Linked DNA regions of Lepisosteus oculatus. Each later gene encodes a partner of the first gene's protein in a complex. Links are inferred from orthologs where the notes say so. Each region holds a gene or a part of one and is shown on either strand. Other genes may lie near its edges.

Region 1 (10,762 bases):
TTCTGTACTATATAAACCTGCCCTTTTACATCCTTAAATATGGAGTCTGCAACCTAGGTCATGTAGGGTCATAGTTCCACAGGATCTTATGTAGCTACTGATGAGCAGAGCTGTAGAAAGCATGGTAACCTGAGGTCAATGAAGTCAGACCAGATGAAGGAATGAAGACCAGACGACACTGTGGCTGTCCAGGATCTGGTTTGGAAACCCCTGTTTTAAATCAATGTATGTTCCAGATAGAACTTGGCAACGCAACATATAATTTATAGCATGTCTCTAAAGTGGATTTTGTATAATGTTGGAGTGCTGATCTTTTTTCAATACAAGCTTGAACTGTTTGCAGACCACTTTCGTGTAGTTTTTATATTTCTTTATTGTTCTGATGTTCATTTCTTCATTCTTCTTGCAGTGTTTCACCCTTTGTGTGCCCGTTCTTGCTTAGCTTAGTTCAACCTCACTTCACAATAGTAACTGACATAATTTGTTATGGTTATCATTTATAAATGTGTGCACTAAAATGCTTTTGTAGATAGGAGGACTACAAGCTGCCAGTACTATATACTGTACTGGACAAGAGAAACAGTCCCAGTGTTAATTTTCAGGTTGTTTATTAACTTTTGAATAAAACCAGAGCTGTACCTAAATGAAGCCCAATATATTGCACTGAGGCTTCACTGGTTAACAAAGGAATGAACTTACACACTGCTGGTGCAACCAAATAAATTCAGATTCACTACTAATGTATTTAATCACAAAACACGTTTTGGCTGAATAATATTTAATGTGTTTAACAATAAACTTCTACTCTAAAAACACACTGGAAAATAGATCTGAAAATACAACCAGGGAAATAAAAATCAATATACAGCATTACAGATCACCATGTTGTTAAAACAGTGCTTACAATTGATTTATTTCTCATTTTAAACAGTTGTGATGAGTTTGTTTAAATGCATGTAAGGTATGTGCCCAGTGTAAATATATTTAAGACATCCAGTTACATTCAGTTCACTAAAGCAGTTTCGGTCTTTCCTTATATGTACAGTCTGCCACTGGAAGTGGCTGGACTAGAGAAATGCCAGTTCCAATTAGACCAGGGTTCGGAGGAAAGGTTTTCTTTATGAGATCAGAGATTAGTCTCATTGTCTACTATATGCCAGATTGATTCAATTGCTATGTTTGAAAATTGTCAAAACGTGAACATCCCCTCATCTTCTAACCACTTTATCCAGAAAGGGGTGGTGGGCAAGTTGGAGCCTATCCCAGTAAGCAACAGGCGCAAGGCAGGGCACACAGACAGAAACACACACACCAGGACTAATTTTTCCAGAAGCCAATTAACCTGTCAGCATGTCTTTTGACTGTGGGTGGAAACCAGAGAACCCCTTGAAAACCCATGCCAACATGGGGAAAACATAAAAAACTCCACACAGACAGAAGCCCCAGATTCGGAACCGAACCCAGAGCCCCTGCGCCACGAGGCAGCAATGCTGACCACTGCGCCACAGTGCTGCCCCAAAATGTGAACGATGAGAAGCAAAGATTCGAACATGACAAACACGTGGAGGTGTATAGGACTACGTTACTTAGAAACTTGCTATTTGTTGTTTACCAAAGCAAATGTTTACACCACAGGTGGGACTCTCAGTAGGCACATTCAAAATGTGCAACTTCATTTTCACGGCTTTTACCGGTTTCTGCACAACTTGATACACAACCTGATGTGTCACGGATGTCGGAAAGGACAAACCGTGGAATGACAGGAGAGCGAAACAGACCCTGTGCATAGCGGCGAGATGGGGGTTAGCCCGGGCTCAGCTGTTCAGGAAATGCGTTTTGGCTGAAGAGAGACCTATGCCCTCAGTTAGCAGCGTGGGGCGACCTGGTGCTAGGTGGGTCTGAGGACATCCGAATGTCAATGCTGAGCAAAGGCAAATGAAAGACCCAGAAATATATAGCCCCAGAGAGAGAGAGAGAGACAGCAAAGCACCGGAAACAACAGACAGGACAAACTAGGAGCGCCCTCTGGCTGCAGAGGGCGTGACATGATGTCTATATAGCTATGTTTTTATTCCACCTACCCCGATATTCCACATCATCTTCACTGCCAGGGGGTACTCAGCTGTGGCACGGCACTGGAGAGACAGTGAGTCTTCCTGCCTCACTTCTCCGGATGGATCCGGCACCACCAGGGAGCACTGCCCAGCCCGTCTCGGAACAGCGAAAGGAGTTGTAGCCTCATACACAGCAGCATTGCAGCCCTTCCCAACCTGCCTCCCAAACACGTAGTCTTCCAGCCTGTAGCCCGAGGAGAAGGACTTGAGTGGGCTTTGCAGCGCCGTCTTCTTCTGGGCAAACAAGGCCTTGGGAATTAAAAAAAAAATACATAGTTCACTATTAATAAACCTTAACTACCATTCCTTTTAAAATACATAGAATCTGTTCACTGCGTATATAAAATCACAAAAATCACCACTCCATTAGTTTTTCACACTCAAGGCGGACTTGTGCTGGGGAAATTGTCATCTTGACTAACACCTCTGAAATTCTTAATTCAATTCTATAGGTAACATCAAGTGAAGCTTGTAAAATTTCAACAAAAATAGGTGACTATATAACCAGAACTTACAGCACATAGCACTGAACCAGATATTAAAGTTTGCATTAAGAATTAAAGAAATTAAAATATACCATTGCTATATATTGCTATACTGTACATTGGAATGGCATACACTCATCCTGCCAACTATAAGGTATATATATGCTTGCTCACTACATGAAGAGCCGCTCTACGTACAGTAGCACATTATGTAGTCAACAGTTCTGTGGTGGAATGATAAGCACTCTGGACTCTGAATCCAGTGATACAAATTCAAATCTCGGTGGAACCCGAGCCGCAGATTCATGCCAGCAGCCATTTCACCCTGCAACTCACACCTGGCAAACCCACTGAAGCTCAGCAGGTGTGAGCCTGGTCAGTACCTGGATGGGAGACCTCCTAGGAAAAACTACAGTTGCTGCTGGAAGACGTGTTAGTGGGGCCAGCAGGGGGAGCTCAACCTGCAGTTTGTGTGGATCCTATTACCCCGGTATAGTGACGGGGACACTATACTGTAAAAAGGCGCCGTCCTTCGGATGAGACGTTAAACCGAGGTCCTGACTCTCTGTGGTCATTAAAAATCCCAGGGCCTTTACCAATCATGACCTCCTAATAATCCCCATCTCTGAACTGGCTTCATCACTCTGTTCTCCTCCACTCTGAGAGCTGGTGTGTGTGGGGGGGTGTACTGGCACACCCTGGCTGCTGTCACATCATCCACCACACTGGTGGTGGTGGTGGTGTAGGGGAGTCCCCATTACCTGTAAAGAGCTTTGAGTGGAGTGTCCAGAAAAAACACTATACAAGTGTAAGGAATTATTTTTTATTATTATTCAGCACAAAACAAGTGATTTACAGACAATGAAATCCAAACTGGAGAACCCAATTAAAACTGAGAACAGGAGGCACTTCTGTACCTAAAGAATGGTGGGAGCATGTAACAAACCACACACCATGCTGTTAAGCCAACATGCTGGCCTCTTTAAAGCCAGGGTCTGGGTGAGATACCTGTATCACCTAGGTCCTCACTAGCACTTGTAGTTGTTCCTGCAGCCTTTTAGTACCATTCCTCACAATATTTTTTCCAGCTGTTAGTTCTTTCCAGATTTTAGTTCTTCTGGATACAAGCTAATTTGCATAAATGCGTCTACTGAGTAAATATCGAGTGGCCCTCCCAGTCAAACCAGTGTAGTGCAACTTGACACCTGCGGCACCTGTCACCTGTCAACCGATCAGCGACGTGAAGATTAAACAGCAGACCTAGCAAAGCAACGACGGTCCATCTTAAATGTGGGTTTCGGTTTAAGGGCAGCTTTAAAATCTCGTGTCTTAAAAGCTTCCTGGAGGTTCTTGGCCGTCACCATATTAGAATACGAGTCCCTATTTGACAATAATGCTTAGTACTTAACGCGGTGCAGCTTAAACTTGGCTTTGCACAAGCTTTTGTCATCTTACACAGCCCATATAAACTTGTTTCTCCAACCCGGGCTGTACCTGAATTTCTCGGCATGTCGCCGTGTCCCTTCTGTCCTCCTCCAGCTGCTGCTCGATGAGCCCGAGGCCCAGCCCGAAAGCCAGAAACACCGCTCTGGTCCTGGGGGATCCGGCGCCTCCTGGAAGCCGGCCGAGTCTCCGGCGCTGCAGCTGGGCAGCAAGGCCGCTCAGCGACACTCGGAAATAGCGGTAACGAGCAGGCAGGAAAGTCTGAGGCTGGACGGTACGGACCGGCGGGCCCAGACGGACACGGCCGCTTCTGAACTTCGCAGCGACCCGGGCAGCCGGTTTCAGGAGACCCTGCTGAAACACCGACCGGCCCAGCTCCAGCCCACGAGCAATGACGAGCTTCACCGACATGGTCGGCTGTTAAAGCCCCCTTCTTGCCTAAAACGTGTGACCACCTTTCTCCCTCACACCTCCTCCAAACGTCCCAGCACAACCGTGATAAACAAGGGGGTCACGTGATGTAAACATGCCAGCAGACATGCGGAAGTCGTCACAGACCGGATGTGCGAGAAACTCAACCGGAAAAACGTTATCAGGTCGCGCAGCCCCCTACTTAATGCCTCCTCTGTGTATAGTATATCCTGCAAAAGCGGTCTGAGAACAAGGTTCGCATTCAAAATTGTTTATAGTGTTTATCAATTAAACGGACATTTTTTCAATTCATATAACGAGTTAGAGTTATGCGTGTTCTGTGATGCTGGGAAAGAAACGCTGACACATTTGTTACGTATATATATATAGTGTTCTGGATAGAATTGGAAAAAATACCTTTAATTTTATCTTCAGTATGAAAGTTATACTTAAGCAGTTTCATGTTATATGTTGCAATATTTTCCCCGTAAAATGGAAAATGAATTTGTATTAATGGATTGAATCTTTTATTAATAATGGGTCGTCTAGCTCCGGACCGGGAGGTCCTGGGTTCAGTCCCAGGTGGGGGCAAGTGATGTAGCTTTTTTCATAATTCCACTCAGCTCCCAGGTCCACTCCAGGTCCACTCCGCCTGCTTTCCAAATGAGTACTGGAGGTAATAGGCCAGCCAGAGCGTGATGCTGACATCACCTCCACCTCCAGTGTCAGATGGTTGAGAAAAATGATGGCTCTTGCCCACCCCCCCTTCCCCATGGGTCTTGATGGCCTGAAAAGGGGACCTAACCTACCTTTTAATAATGAGTGGATATCACATCCACAAAACTCAGCAGTCATATCCTGCAACTCACAACTGGCAACCCACTGAAGCTCAGCAGGTGTAAGCCTGGTCAGTACCTGGATGGGAGACCTCCTGGGAAAGCTGAGGTGTTAGTGGGGCCAGCAGGGGGTGCTTACCCTGAGGTCTATGTGGGTTCTAATGCCCTCAGTATAGGTCCTGACTCTCTGTGGTCATTAAAAATCCCAGGGCGTTTCTCGAAAAGAGTAGGGGTGTACTCGTCCTGGCCAAATTTCCCATTGGCCCTTACCAATTATGGACTCCTAATAATCCCCATCTCTGAACTGGCTTCATCACTCTGTTCTCCTCCCCACTGAGAGCTGGTGTATGGTGAGCGAACTGGTGCACTATGGCTGCCGTCGCATCATCCAGGTGGGGCTGCACACTGGTGGGGGTGGAGGGGATCCCCATTACCTGTAAAAATATTTGAGTGGAGTATCCAGAAAAGCACTACATAAGTGTAAGCAATTATTATTAATTAAAACAGAACTGTCCAGTGCTACTCCCTCATTTAGTGTATATAAGGTGTAAATGCAATACTACTTAAACTCCATTACAAGCATGACAAATAACAAAGCAAAAATCACAATTAATAAAACTTGATGTATACAGATTTGTTATTATTTCTGGCAAGATACTGTTCTTAGTCCCTTTTGTTCGCTTTTCCGTTGTGGATACTGTTTCTCCGTTATTTGTATTATTTTATGTTCTATAAAACCTGATAAAAATCTGCACAACGTGCACAAATGCCGAAGAGCTGCAGCACTGAAGCCCGGATTCTGCCCAACCAATGAGCGGAAGCGGCCCAAGACAGATGCAGTAACGGGCTCGCATCCTAATCGCTCCTCCTAGCGCCACCTAGGCCAGCAGGTGTGAAGCGCCTGTTAGTTACGCCGCCGATGGTCTTCCAAATCATCTTCCTTGTATGCAGTCGTCGTAAATTGTATTTACAAAGAATGTACTGTACATTTGTCATCTATCCACACATTGTGTAAGCGGGTGTGCACAATTTAAATTATACGTCATTCTAGCCCTTAAGTGCTGTTGATACGCAGTCAGCACAGAAATGCCTATTTATATAAAAATAAATGCCTACTAATGTTATGTTGTTGTGAAGCTACATAACCATATGAGTCGATGAATTATCCGCTGACGAGAGCCAGTGTTAAAGGGTTTATTTAGGGACATGTGTGCTGTGCACCAATGCAAGCGACAGATCATCTGATGGATAGCACAGAATTCGTGTTCACAAAACCAAGGAAGCGGACAGATTTGAATCTGGCAAGAAATGTTAATAATGGCACAATGCTGGCACGTTCCTCTCAAGACTACGTTTGAAATGGTCATTTTACGAGTTAAAGCTTGTTGGTATCCGGTCACGGTTAGAGGTCACGCAGCATTAATTGCGCCAATAACACCGGCTGGAAAGAATTGCCCACCTGTGAGAATCGGCCACCGGCTAATCGCTGTGACGAGTCCCGCAGTGCACAAGCTCAAAAGACGATTAATAACCAACTACATGAGATCAGAAACAACAGTAGTCTCCGCATAAAATCTTTTTAATGAAACATTTTTACAGTTTTAAATGTAAATATTTCACGTTTAAAGCTGGTATTTTATGCACAATTGCTACAAAATTTTTAAAAAGTATTTTATGCTTGAAAAGTATATTTACACAACTTTCAAAAGAATATACTGTGCGGTGAACCTGAGAACGCTACAATACCTACTATTAATTATTTGGCCTAATGCAAGTTATTTAGATGTGTCTCTTAAAAGTGAATGAGCTGATTAAAGGGAAATCTGCATTTCTTACATTTCCAAACGCGTAACTGCAGAAGCTCTCTCATATATCGAAATCTCCTGTACTGATGTCGAGCGAATTATTTTTGCTGGAAGATTAGACAGGTCACCAGCTGCAACGCAATACACAATGCTGCCAGGCAGGAGCACAACTGAAAACAAGCAGCTGAAATATCAATCTTTAACTGTTTGATGACCACTTCGAAACGAAGGCGGCATGAGATTTGCTCTAGTAATCAAAATGAAAGAGCTTCTTCGTGTATTTATGTTCTATAAACGGGCGCTGGTTATCATCGCTGTCTCGCAGCGCGGAGCTTGTATTTTCTCCCCGCGTTCGTGGGAGTTTCCTTCGGGAGCTGCCGGTTCTTCCCACAGTCCACACACATGCTTGTAGGTTAATCGGCGTGTGTGTGTGTCCTGTCGGGACAGGCTCTATCTCCCCCGCGACCCTGAACCGCAAGAAGCGGCGCCATGGAGCTGGGGTGGGTGTTTTAGATACAGTATGAGCTGGTAAATCCAAATCAATTGTAGAAAATTGGTAAATATTCGAGGCCTTTCCGCTATAGCAGTGTACTCGGAAAGAGCGTAGCGCCCTCGCCGCTGCCGCCTCAGCTCGGCCCACCCACCATCGGGCACTCGAACCCAGGCCTCCGGTGTCGCTCAACCGGGACCTAGCCAGTTAAGCTAAAGGGAAATCTCCCGTCAGCCCGACGGCTAAGGTCCCTGCTATCCACAGGGAAAGGGCGGTGACGTCACCGCGCTGCTAAGCCGACTCGCACAACTTGCAATGGCAAAACATGATATATGTAAAATATACAATTTGATCACATCATAACGTAATTACCTCTGGTAGTTCAATGCTTTTTTTCTGCTGAGTTTCTTTTTTCTCTTGTACATGATTCTGAACCTCTTGTTGTATTTGTATCTGTAAATTCTATACGTTTAATAAAAAATTAAACCGCAAAAAAACAACAACTTGCAATGGCGTTACAATAGTAGAGAAAGTTTAGAATGGTTTGGGGTTATACTGTAGTTGAATTGAAAAAACTGTGGACAGCCTAGGGGCGGTTTTGGGGTGTGATTCGAGAATGTAATGTTGATCACTATGTCATCTTTTCCTGCAGGAAATGTGGTAAACTAGTGCCAGGTAAAGAATATGACAATCCATTCTGAGTTTTCTGTTTCCTATTGCACATCGTACGGAGTCTTTACATACCATGCATTGCATGGTAAGTTCGATTTGAAAGCAATGGCACTAACTGGGCTAACAAAAAGTGGCAAGACGTGTGGAATAATAACAACCACAGACTGAAACAACTTATTGACAAAATATCCAACAAACCTGCTGGAAATGACCTACCCAGAACAAGCCTGGGTCAAGCTGAACCAACTAAGAACCGGACATGGCCGTTTCCGGGCCACCCTACACAAGTGGGGTCTCACTGATGACCCAACTTGCGAATGCGGCGATGGCGAGGAGCAGACGGCCGACCACATCCTATACTCCTGCCCTCGCTTCAGATGCCCCGGCAACTTTATCGATTTGGATGATGCCAGCCGCGACTGGCTGAGGCACCTGACTGTGACAATATAACTATGTAACTTCTGCATGTTAAGCTCATATGAATATATATACATACCATGCAAAAGAAAAGAATGATGACACAGGCCCTTTAACTGTATTTACATACCCACAGCATAGCAATATAAAGTAAGGGGCCTGAGATGATATATTGAATTCCGATTGAAAATCTTTTTCCGCACATTTTAGAAGGTGCGCTGTGTTTACTTGTATTTAAATGTCTCCGTCATGTATCGACATATATGTGAACTAGTTCAAGCTCAAATATGTGTGAACGGCACTGTACAGTATTCGTGGAAGGCAGGTCGTTGAAGGGACTGTATTGACAACTAGTCTGCCACCAGAGGCCGCCAAAGAGTCTCTCACTAGGCTCTCTCAATAGGTTCACCAGTGTTGGTGGTGGTTGGGTTTAGAGAAGCAGAAAGGGTGGGTTACTCATGTGTAAGAAGGATTTACTCTTCAGTGCTTACTTCCATCACAAGTTTGCTCAGCACCTGGAGCCACCTTGACTAATGGTGGTCTGCCACAGTATTATTAGTTAATACATCAAAAATCAAAATGTTTGAAATATATCTCACCTCCTTTCAAAAGGATGTCACTATAGGTCCAGATATGTTTGTAACACTGCCATATAACTAAAACTGTGTCACTCAGGTCATGAGCTCGACTTGAGCAAATCAAACTTTGCATACAATTTGCAATATACAAAATACATTTTATTGCATAACACTACATACTCGTTATATTACAAAATGTATTCCTGTGAGGTAAGCAGTGCACAAGGCAGGACAGGAACCTACTGCCATCAAACGTATTGAACAGTAAATGTGCACATGGCTCAAGAGTAAAATTTGAATTACAAAATGGTTTCCTGAACCAAACTGTTACGTAAATTGAGGGTTTGTATGTCATGTCATGATATATTACTTTACAGATAATTTTGTGCTGTTCCTCTGTAGTAGTCAACTGAGTCATCAGCTGCTTGAGTTTCCTCTGACAACTCGCTGAAAACACATCTGTTCTTTCTCCGGTTCAGTTAACTCACTGCTGTTGAAATGGTCATTGTGACATTTGTTCCCACCACCGGAACTTTTAAGTGCTCTATTCATCACATTTTGTAACTTTTAGAGAAAAATTGGCTTACCTGTTACTGACCTCAACTAGATTTATAACATTTTCTAAATACTACAAATTCTGATTGCCTTTTTGTGTCCTGCAGCTGCATATTAAAAACCAGCTCTAGGGTCCTTACGTAGCATAATTACTTTTTTTTATTATCTTCCAATTTGTATTGTGCATTCCTTAATGGTGTAGGGCAAAATTACCATGTAAAGGAGTTTGAGAGGGTACTGTCCGAACAAAAAGACAATCAAATGTCAAAGACTGATTCACTGATAAGCATGTACCAAGTGCTGTGTGTAGCTGACACCCCGAACTTAAAATTCTCCATAACCTGAACAACAGTGTTACTTCACTCCAGTAATTGCCTGCACTCCATGCTCCGCCAAAGAATTACAGAGCAAATGCAAGTCATCATGTTCCTCATTTGGAAGGAACATTCTCAAAAACATGCAGCAATTCCTATAAATACTTGGGAGCACAAACACCTACTGGCATCACTGCACAATGCTAATTATTATTTTCCCCAGCCTCACAAGGTGAATGAGTGTAGAACTGCGTCGACACTTCATGTCCATTTTGTAGGGAGAAAACCTTCTTTTTCTTGAGGTCATCAGGCCCAAAAGACATGGGCAGCAGCTCATCCACGGTCATCCGTACGTATGATCCATCCACCTTCGTCAGGAACACATCCCAGCCTGTGCCAAACTGCAAAACAAATCGGATCTATAAGTATCTGAAAACAGAGCAAGAGCACAATGTGCATGAATATGAGTGTACCGTATACACCATTTTATGGGATACATTCATAATTAGGTTTGAAAAATGTACAATGTTAGGAAGGAGGAGAGTCTTCTGTGTCTGCTTTGTAAATGTTTAAAGTGAGCAGCCACACAACCACTGCCTGCTTTGATTGCTTACTTTATGGCTGCTTACTTTGCAAAAGCAA
Region 2 (10,300 bases), on another chromosome or scaffold:
ATACGGTAGCTGAAAACCAACCACGCTGGCGAACCGGAGAGGTTTGTATCGTTGTTGGGCTCTCTCCTCCCTTGTTAATCCGATTTAAATATCTGACTGCTCAAGTCCTTAATTTTATTTGCAGTTCAAAGATGTTACGGCCGTTACAATCAGGGAAAACTTACCAATTGGATCTGGATAATAAAAAAAACGAGCGACTCACCTCATGTGTGCGGAGCGCTGGATCTATCTATCTGCCCCTGTGCTGAAGGGAGACGGATTGCCTGTCTGTAGTAGCCGGGTGAGTGAGGAAGGGTTTGGATGCTGTCTAATGCACGGCTCTTAGCGGCTCTCCTCTCTCTCTAATCTCCTCGGGTCAGTCACTCATTGTTCTCTCTCTCCCTTTCAAAACGTGCCATAAATCCGAGCTGTGAGCAAGCGAGACCACCATAAGATTACAGCTCAGATTCATCCAAAAGGCACGACAACTCCTTTGCAATCGGTCGTAATAAACTTTGCAGCGAGCACCACAGTAATGGTTAGTTATAAATCTGCGATACTGACGCATCTCTCAGGAGACCTCTTTCGCGTATTGCTGACTGACTGGCAGATATGCCAAGGTTATCCTTGTATACTGCGCAGCAATGGCAACAGACGCTTCAACTGGGTTCAGCCAGGGAACGAAGAACAGACCGTGTTTTAAGTTGAAATATACCTTAGGATACGGCGTGTCATTTAGAAGCAAAGTAAGAGCGCGTTTTGGAGTTTTATACGAGCAAACAAACCTGGGTCAATTTGAGTTTCGGATAGACGATCATCTATGCCCTGGCTGTATTTCGTAGTTTTGCGTGGGGGCAGTTCGCCATCTCCTGGTCTCCCTGGACATCCACAATTTTCAACTAGTTCTATTCTGCCAAAGAAGCAACCGAATTGGGGGCAGTATAGTTTATTGGTATTAGAATGATTATTAGTTACACTCCCGTTATTAATACTACACTCTAAAATGTACGAATATCGTTATTCTTGCTATTGGTGTTGCTTGGGCTTGTTTTTAAAGCCTTTCGACCAGATAAATTACAGTTATATGCAAGGAAGAATCGGTTTGTATTTTTGTTACTGATGATGGCTCCAGTTGGGAAAGTAACGAAATCCAATTTTTACTCCTAATTTCTCAGCGGGGTTTGCTTACCCAGTTCCACAAAATACTTTTTTCTTACTTTGAATAAACCAGTTGTGAACGTCGTTACTACATCAGTACTATATATTTTTAAATGATTTCAAAATTAAATCAATTTAAATACTGTAACGTCTGGTATCACAAAGTATCTTCTTTCCAATTTTTAACTAATGCAATATTTTCATAGTTGAGAGGCAGAAAAGTGTGGTTACCTTTCAGAAAAAAACATTTTCCTCAGAGGAGAGTGGTAAAATATTTTTTACAAATGTTTACATATCAATTTTATGTACTAATATACGCATACGCTAAACTCGTTTACAGTTGTACTTGTTATTAAAATAGTATTTTCTAAAATGTACTCCCTGCCTACTAAACCAGTTTTCGAGATGATTACAAGAACTCGAATTGTTTCTCACGATAACGCTATAATTTAATCTTTCACGCTCAATGACCTGAAGGTATATGTTCACTTTATGGTTACGAATTTACCTGTTCCAAAACGCTTTGCAAGCGCCCATGTTCTTGACAAGCGTGTGTGCGTAATTGGACTAAGATATCAAAGCTACAGGTTATGACATTTTCATCCAACATGGCTAGCTACCCATGCTGGTAGACAGCTTGGGGCTTTTACAACGATATCTACAGAACTGTGCTTTTCAGGAGGGTTGAGACCTCCTAATAAGGTTGTGTTGTGCTGCATATAGCTCCACTTTTGGCCCCTGTACTACTGCTTCCCACTGAGTTTTGAATCACAGTCTTGTGTCTCCTCCTATTTTTTTACCCTTCCACAACCCCAGTACTGACTACCTCTGTCCTCTGCTGAAACAGTGCAGTCTTGTTCTGGATCTTCCTAAAGAGGACCTGATAGAGGAGGCTGTCCTTTCCTAAAAATAAACTGAACACTCTCCCTTCACATTTACATTGTTATAACATTGTGGGTACTGGACCTCAGTCTCTTTTGCATCATTAATGTTGTCTTATCATTCATGATATACGATGTGTTCATTTTTCTCTCCTTTTCAGTGTAAAAGCATTGTGAAAATGCTAGCATTTTCAAATGTTGTTCCATATAAACGAATTTGTAGTCTGCTGCAAATTACCACAAGTATGTGACGTTACATCAGTACACCAATACATGTTTGTACTGTATTTTTCTTCTGTGTTACTGTTCAGACTGTGCTTTTATTGTAGCACATTGTGTGAAATGCTCACCACCAAAAGGTGCTCTTTAAAATAAATTTAAACAATCTGTAATTGATTGAAACCTGAGCTCACAAAACTCCCGAGAAGCGGATCGCTGATGTCTTGTTTTCCTGTTCAGCCAACTCAAGGTCACCTGAACTTGAATCTCCCCAGAACGTGAGCTGAAGCAGAAATACAAGATGGTTAGATAATTGTTTTTCCATGATTTCCCGAGTTGCTTGCGTTTTTGCGTCAGTCTGGACAGGATTGAAGTCCTCCTATCTCTTTCTCCTGTTTTGGTTTTAAAGCTCATATTAACAAATAGTACCTTCTCTCAACCTTCATCGGCCCTTGCAGCTGAAACTAGCAATTATTTTGTTAAGGTGTGGATCACTACCCCGGATTTGCAATGTAAGGTTCAAGACTTTTGATTGAAAGGTCACCTGGCATATGTCCGATCTGGATTAGTTGAGAATCGGTCTGTGAAGCCAGAAGGGTCTGAAAATGTTTCTGTGCACATCCAAACATGTAGGTAACTTGAGTTTTGTAAAAACAAAACACAGCACCGCAGCATGGGGAACAGGAGTGCAAATCAGGCACATAGCCCACTTCTGGAGGTCATGGTATGCATTTCCCGCTGAGTCTGAAAACAGAAAAGAAGATTTCTTCCTTTCCAGCAGGCAAGACCCATCCCTGCTGGATTTCACTCTGGAGAGTCAGGAAGGGCACACAGTCCGAAAATTAAGGAGGAAACCAAAGGCCACTCTGGGATCCTTTGGAATGGAAAGCATTCTGTACAATTCAACACATTGTTGACAGCTGAGAGACAGTATCAAATGGTTTCCCTCTTTGTGAGAAATGCCCTGGGATTTTTAATGACCACGGGGACTCAGAAGCTCGGTTTTACGTCTCATCCAAAGAACAGTGACTTTTTTTTCAGCATATTGTCCCCATCACTATACTGCGCCATTAGGACCCACACAGATCGCTGTAATGAACAGTTCTTTCCGGACCCTATGCGGACGACACAGTCCGACGGAGTGGGGAAACACTAGGGAAACGTCATGCAGGAAAACGGGGCTGAAGACAAGGGGGCGTGTCCAAGGTGCGCTGGTGCACGGGGGAGGTGTGGCCGAGGCGAACAATCCAAAAGAGAAGTCCTTAGGGAATATCCAAAACACACGAGAAAGTCCAAAACCAGGAGATCCAGCAGAACAAAGAATTAAAAACACGAAGGCCGGGTCGGAACCGGCGGACGGGGAACAGAGGTTAAAACCTTAACGGGACCAGGCGCTTCCAGGTCCCGGACTCGCACGATATGGAAATCAGATGCAGAGCCCGGATGAGCGTCAGCGCCTGGCTTTTAAGGTGGGCTGGGAATAGGGAGCAGGTGCATAGAATAAAGTCTTGAGTGAAAGGGCTGGAGCACCCTTAAGGAGGGGGGGCTAATATCGTGACAATCGCAGGGTGAGCGCTCCCTACTGGTCCCGCTAACACCTCTTCCAGCAGCAACCCTAGCTTTCCCAGGAGGTCTCCCATCCAGGTACTGACCAGTTGGTACTGACCAACCTGGTTGCAGGTTGTTTACTGCAGGAGGATATAGCTGCTGGTATTCTAGCAAAGAGCACTTTACTCCCCTGTTTTGCAGTGGGACACACAGGAGAACTGTCAGAGCTTTTTAGCACCAAAGGTAACTCCATTTTTTGCACGGGCAAAGCAATCAACAATACCCTGCAATCCTCCCTTTCATCCTCGTATGGCCATCGGTTACTGGAACTGCAGCTTTAGGGTTTTACCGAACCCATCAGAAAAGGCGGGAACAAGCTCTTTTCCTTAATGTTTTACGTTACAGCTCATTTCCCTAGAGTGCTGATGAACTTAATTAGGGCCTTTCAGCAAAGCTCCTAATTGCCAGAGGAGTGTGTGTGTTGCCGCTAGCAGATAACAGTTAGCTTGGGATCAACAGAAACGTGTTTCTCAGCATCCACCAACCACACAGTCAGGACTGAGCGGAGGCAGAGGACAGTTACTGGGAGGTAATGGCTTTTCCAAGCTTGTGGTGTCATGTCCCCGAGTTTATTTTTTTTTCTTCTCTTATCTTTTTGCTCTTATGGACACCCCAGGGGTATCATGGTCCCACTATATCAGTTTCAGTGTGGACTGACAAAACCAGATCTGTCCGCCGACCTGGTGCCAATGTATTCCACTCCAGCAGGCACGGTGGAAGAGATCTCGTCGATCTGTTTGGCAAGGACAGGTCATATCAGGTGCGTTTCCAACACATTAAACACAATGGTTGTGTTTTTTTTTTTTCAGCTTTTTAATGCCTCTGACTGAAGCCAGTATACAAAGTGATCCTGTACAGTGGGGACTAGGCAGGATACTTCCTGGACAGGACACTACATCATCACACAGTACACATGTATACACTCACACATGGGTCAGTTTTCACAGAGGCTAATTGACCTAATAGTATATTTTTGCCCTGTTGGAGGAAACCCACGCAAACATGGGACAAACATACAAACTTCAAGTAGATCTGGATTTGACCCCAGTGCTCCAGCACTGTGGGGAACCACTGTTTTGTCCTATTAATAATATATTTGTAGAATTCCCTTTTAAATATTAAGTTCAAATTGTTTAGTTTAGTGCTATACTGGAAACGAAAAAGATATCAAAATTCTGGGGAAACTTTGTCTTCTGGGCAAACGTATAAAAAACACAGCCGAAACGTTTTGTTTGTTTTCTTCTCTTTTCTGCATAGAATAAACCTTTAGCTATTCCACATATAATGCATTACAGAAACCGACATGTGAAGTAGTTCCCCTCTAATACTGTTCAATTTTTTCAGGATGCTATTTGAGACTCCAAAAAGTGGATGAGTAAGCCAATCGGAATCCTACAATAAAAAATAAAAACTATAATTATGAACAGCATTGAATTCTAATAACACAATTAGTAACACAAACACTGTACATAAAGTTCCTCTACAGCGCTGATTCGCCCTCGTTTCGTTCCGTGCAGTTTGTCTTTCCTCGCACACCGTATCACGTGTTAACCTCGATGAGGTCAGAGAGAGGGCGAGGGTCAAACTAGCACGTTTGCCGGAAAGACAGGATTCGTGCGTTTGCTGTGGTCAAGTGTAGCCTGATTGCAAGCTCCGTAATGTTTAAAATTGAAGGCCTGGGTCCCAAAATGGACCCCGAGGAGATGAAGAAGAAAATGAGGGAAGACGTGATCACGTCAGTGAGGAATTTTCTGATCTACGTAGCGTTGCTCAGAGTCAGTGAGTATCATTGCTCCTCGTCGGGTTTCAAGGCATCGTGTCCTTGCCTTAGTTCTTGTCATTCACTTCTGGTCATCTTTAGAAGATATCCTGCAAATGATGGAGATATACGGGGGCGGAACTGCTGAATATTTTAACGAGAGCGAGTTTTGTGTTCAGTACGCCGCTTTCTTTAAAACAAAAACATTTTTTTCTCGTTTCAAGGTGAAAAGAATTGATACATATGGTAAAAATTCTAATTAATTTCCCAGAATAACTATGTTCTAGAGTAGTCGTATTATGTGTAGGGAAACAACTACAGAGCTACTAGCTCTCGCCTTCATTTTATTCCAGGTCCTGACAGTAGGGGGAAGTGTTTAAAAGCCCTTGGCGTGTCTTGTTAGGAAATCTCTGCATACACCTGGTCTATAACGCTATGATAACATTCCTGTTTAAAATATTATAGTGATTTTATTCAAAGCTTAATCTGTTACAGTCTTGTGCACCCAAATGAAGTGCAAAACTTTAAACATGATTGGTTTCAATTAAACCTTGTTTTAACAAATTTTAAATTGTCTTTGGCAATACTAGATTGTTCCAGCCTTTAGAGTGGCACATGGTGTTGAAGCTCATTTTTGTGTTTCGTATTAGAATGGTTAACTGTTTGACAGTGAACAGTGGTTGTAGTTTTTTGGCCAATATATCACCCTGCAGCTCACAATTGGCAGCCCACTGAAGCTCAGCAGGTGTGGGCCTGGCCAGTACTTCCTGGATGGGAGATTCCTGGAAAGGCTGAGGTTGCTGCTGGAAGAAGTGTTAGTGGGGCCAGTAGGGAGCGCTCACCCTGCGATCTGTGTGGGTCCTAATGCTGCAGTATAGTGATGGGGACAATATGCTGAAAACAAAGTCACTGTTCTTTGGAGGAGACGTAAAACCAAGCTCACCCTGTGGTTTGTGTGGGTCCTAATGCCCAATCGAAGTGTTGGGGACACTGTACTGTAAAAAAGGTGCTTTCCTTTGGATAAAATGTAAAATAGAGCTCCTGTCTTTCTGTGGTCATTAAAAATCCCAGGGTGTTTCTTGAAATGAGTAGGGGGTAACAACCCCAGTGTCCTGGCCAAATTTCCCCCTGGCCTTTACCAATCATGGCTTCCTGATGGTCCCCATCTGTGAACTGGCTTCATCACTCTGTTTTCCTCCCCACTGATAGCTGATGTGTGGTGAGTGTATGTTGGTGCACTATGACTGCCATCACATCATCAAGAGTAGTTTATTGGCATATGTGCATGTACATTGGATTTCTTAATCGCGCTGATCTGCCAGGACATACACAGTAGAACAGACAACACACCACGCAATGTTGGCAATAGGAACAATAAATATGTTGTGGAAAAATAAATAAATATGTACTAGTGAGACCAGAAACAAATGGTAGACTATGTAAAAACTGCGTAGTGCAGATGTGTATTAAGGTACTGCAGTTAGCTGTTGAGGATGCGCACTGCAGTGGGATAGAAGCTGTTCTAGAGTCTAGTGGTCCTTGCTTTAACAGTGCGGTACCGATTCCCTGAGGGCAGGGGAGAGAACAGCTTGTGGCTGGGATGGCTGTCTTTCTGAATGATGGATTGGGCTTTATTGCGACTTGCGAATCTCACCGATTGATAGTAAAGGTGGATGCTGCACATTGGTGGTGGTGGAGGGGTCCCCATTACCTTTAAAACGCTTTGAGTGGAGTCTCCAGCCAAGCACTATATAAGTGTAAGGAATTATCAATACACTGATAAGTAGCTCCAGCAGTTTCTGACAGTCGTTGTGGGCTGTGAGAAGACTGTTGAAGGGTGCCGGCAATCGATTACTCTCATGATGTGAGTTTCAGTTCTGAATTGCACACTGAGGAACTTTCCTCAGCTCTTTCCATGTTTTTCAAACGAGTGCTAGCCTTGACCCATCCCCCTCTGCCTTCCCAGCGCCCTACGTCCTGAAGAAACTGGATAGCATCTGAAGAGTCTCGCTCTCCCGCCTGCGGAGGTCTTTCCCTGCGGCAGCTCAAGACAACAGCGCGGAGCCTCTGCTGGACCGGGAACATGTCGGCAATGCTGCCAGAGATCACCAGGACTGCTCAGTCCTTGGCTTGGGCTACACATCTGGTTCTGCCCTCTATCGTCACCTCATTGTTTAAAGGCTGCGATACCCATCATGTGTATGAATGGATCTCAACACTGTGCAACTCTCACAACACTGCAGGACTTGTGTGCTGATTTTATGTATTCTTGTTAATACAGGTCAATTACCCAATGATGTGTAACCCTTTAAAAATATTTCCCCATCTCGCGTACGAGTGAAATATAACAGAACAGCATGAGTTTTTTTTTTAATTTGGGTTTTTTTTTTAAGGAGGGGTGAATCCAGCATCCTTTTCTTTGGGATAGCTTTTGTTTGTTTTAAAACCTCCTGCGCGGTGGCGTTATTTGACCGTAACGCCATTCCCATGAAGTGTAGTGTGAGTATTTGTGTCGGCCGATTCTGACGGCGAAGGGGACGTGATTCCAGCCCTCGCCTGATGCAGCAATTTTAAATTCCACTCACTGCACCACAAGTCAAAATAAAAATGGTTCTTACGATTGCTGCTGTTCATTTGTTGTAATTCTTTAGTTCAGAATCAACCTTTAATATTACAAATACACCCAAAATGTGAAAGTAACTATTAATACTCAGTTATTACATAATTTTTTACACACAGAATCTAAACCCTCTCAATACATGCGGAGGAGTTTAATATCAATGTATTTGTACTACTGAACTTTCTCTTTAATTGCAGTGATTCTCTGTGTAGAATCACTTCTGATTATTATTATTAGATGTTTTTCTACTTTAAGAAGACTGGAGTTGCTCTTAAGAGGAAGATTTTTTTTTTTCTTATAAAATATACTTTATTCCGGAAAAAAACACATCTCAAAAGGAAAACATCTCATACAATAACACTCCACAAGTTAAAACAACGGCGGAACGGCGGTGATTGTCCGTTTTCAATCCTTGCAAGGGTCTTAAGAGGAAGATAATCACTTTATTAGCCCTATACAATTTCTTGCAATTGGATTTCATCTTTTCGCATACCCCAGCTTGTTCTCCATTAGACACAGAGACAGGGAGAGAGAAGCTTGGGGTCAGAGCACAGGATCAGCCATTGTACAGCGCCCCTGGAGCAGTTGGGTTTAAGGGCCTTGCTCAAGGGCCCAACAGAGTAGGATTCCTCTGCCAGCCACAGGAACTGAACTGGTTACCTTCCAGCCACAGGCACAGATCCTTAGCCACAGAGCCACCACTCCGCCCCCTCGGTTTTTAACTTTTGGTAGAGTCATGGTTCCTCTTAGCTGATTAACTGTAGCTAATCCTAGGAACCACTACTTAATCTAATTACATTGCACTGGTGTTTCTACTGGAGGTGACTAAAGCCACCTGTATAAAACCCTCAGTATCCATTAGTTAGGTCTGTTATGATTGAACAGGGATTATGTGTTTTAATTAAAAATCACTGAGTAATTCCTGAGCATGTGTTCCTCAAGCAGAGGAATCAGTCTTGAAGTTCCAGATGGTTTCTGGTTTTTCTTTCCCCCTGAGCCCTAAATTACCTCATTTGAGCTCTTTATTGTCTTAAAATGATTTTCCTTGTTCATGAGAAGCTGGAGATTTAGAAAAAGGTGCTGAACAATGGCTCTTGAAATCCAGGTGTTAGTGGGGCCAGCAGGGGGCGTTCACCCTGTGGTCTGTGTGGGTCCTAATGCCCCATTATAGTGACGGGGACACTATACTGTAAAAAGGTGTTGCCTTCGGACATAAAACCTAGATCCTGACTCTCTGTGGTCATTAAAAATCCCAGGGTGTTTCTCGAAAAGAGTAGGGGTGTAACCCTGGCATCCTGGCCAAATTTCCCATTGGCCCTTACTAATCATGGCCTCTTAATAATCCCCATCTATGAATTGGCTTCATCACTCTGTCCTCCTCCCCACTGATAGCTGATGTGTAGTGAGTATACTGGTGCACTATGGCTGCCGTTGCATCATCCAGGTGGGGCTGCACATTGGTGGTGGTGGAGGGGATCCCCATTACCTGGAAAGCGCTTTGAGTGGAGTGTCCAGAAAAGTGCTATATAAAGTAAGCAATTATTATTATAAAGGGAAGTTATTACTCTCTAGCTGTTATGTGTGTCTGGATCAAACTACCTGTGGATGTGAACTCTGATGGAACCCCAAGGAATGGGTGAGATGAGATTTACTTGGTGCACACTGCCTTCAAGTCACGACTGATGTTTCCTAGAGTAGATCAGGGGATCGTCATGTTGTATCAACTGTAAGCCTACTCACATAAAAATATATATTTTTATTGATATAGCATACAATACAATTTTTGGCAACTCAAAGTGCTTGTTACAAAATATTAAGTTAAAACAAGCAACAATAACAAATGTGAGAACCATGTGCAAACAGTACAAATAGCCCTGAAATTATACAAGAAAAATCAAGTAAAAGCAAGAGTAAAAAAAATATGTTTTGAGCTGCCGTTTAAAAATATCCACAGAGCCAGCCTCTCTAATGTTTTTAGGAAATATTCAACTATTCCACAGTTTGGATGCGTAGTAGCAAAAGGCTGCCTCTCCAGTCATCCTATGCTTAATTTCTGGAATAATCTTTAAAAATCGT

Evidence for each region.
Region 2: the proteins of pink1 (region 1) and tomm5 are in contact, whole or in part, in a cryo-EM structure (PDB 9EII), measured with the Homo sapiens proteins. The link is inferred for Lepisosteus oculatus from reciprocal best matches to the Homo sapiens genes PINK1 and TOMM5. Residues at the interface, in NP_115785.1 of Homo sapiens: Gln484, Ala488, Gln491, Ser495, Lys496, Pro498, Val502, Lys520, Leu522, Lys523, Leu524, Met527, Glu565, Cys568, Gln569, Ala571, Leu572, Leu573, Cys575, Ser576, Trp577, Ala579, Ala580; in NP_001001790.1 of Homo sapiens: Met1, Phe2, Arg3, Ile4, Gly6, Leu7, Ala8, Lys10, Leu11, Asp12, Pro13, Glu14, Met16, Lys17, Arg18.

What each region holds. Positions count from the first base shown.
Region 1 is NC_090720.1:10,920,269-10,931,030, reverse strand, and holds the start of pink1 (serine/threonine-protein kinase PINK1, mitochondrial), read right to left. Parts: upstream 4,575-10,762; 5' UTR 4,454-4,574; coding exon 4,094-4,453; intron 2,364-4,093; coding exon 2,082-2,363; intron 1-2,081. Other genes in the region: cdaa (cytidine deaminase a), read right to left, coding at 10,324-10,521. UniProt on the Homo sapiens protein: Serine/threonine-protein kinase which acts as a sensor of mitochondrial damage and protects against mitochondrial dysfunction during cellular stress.
Region 2 is NC_090696.1:67,262,906-67,273,205, reverse strand, and holds tomm5 (mitochondrial import receptor subunit TOM5 homolog), read left to right. Parts: upstream 1-5,415; 5' UTR 5,416-5,503; coding exon 5,504-5,624; intron 5,625-7,570; coding exon 7,571-7,605; 3' UTR 7,606-8,224; downstream 8,225-10,300.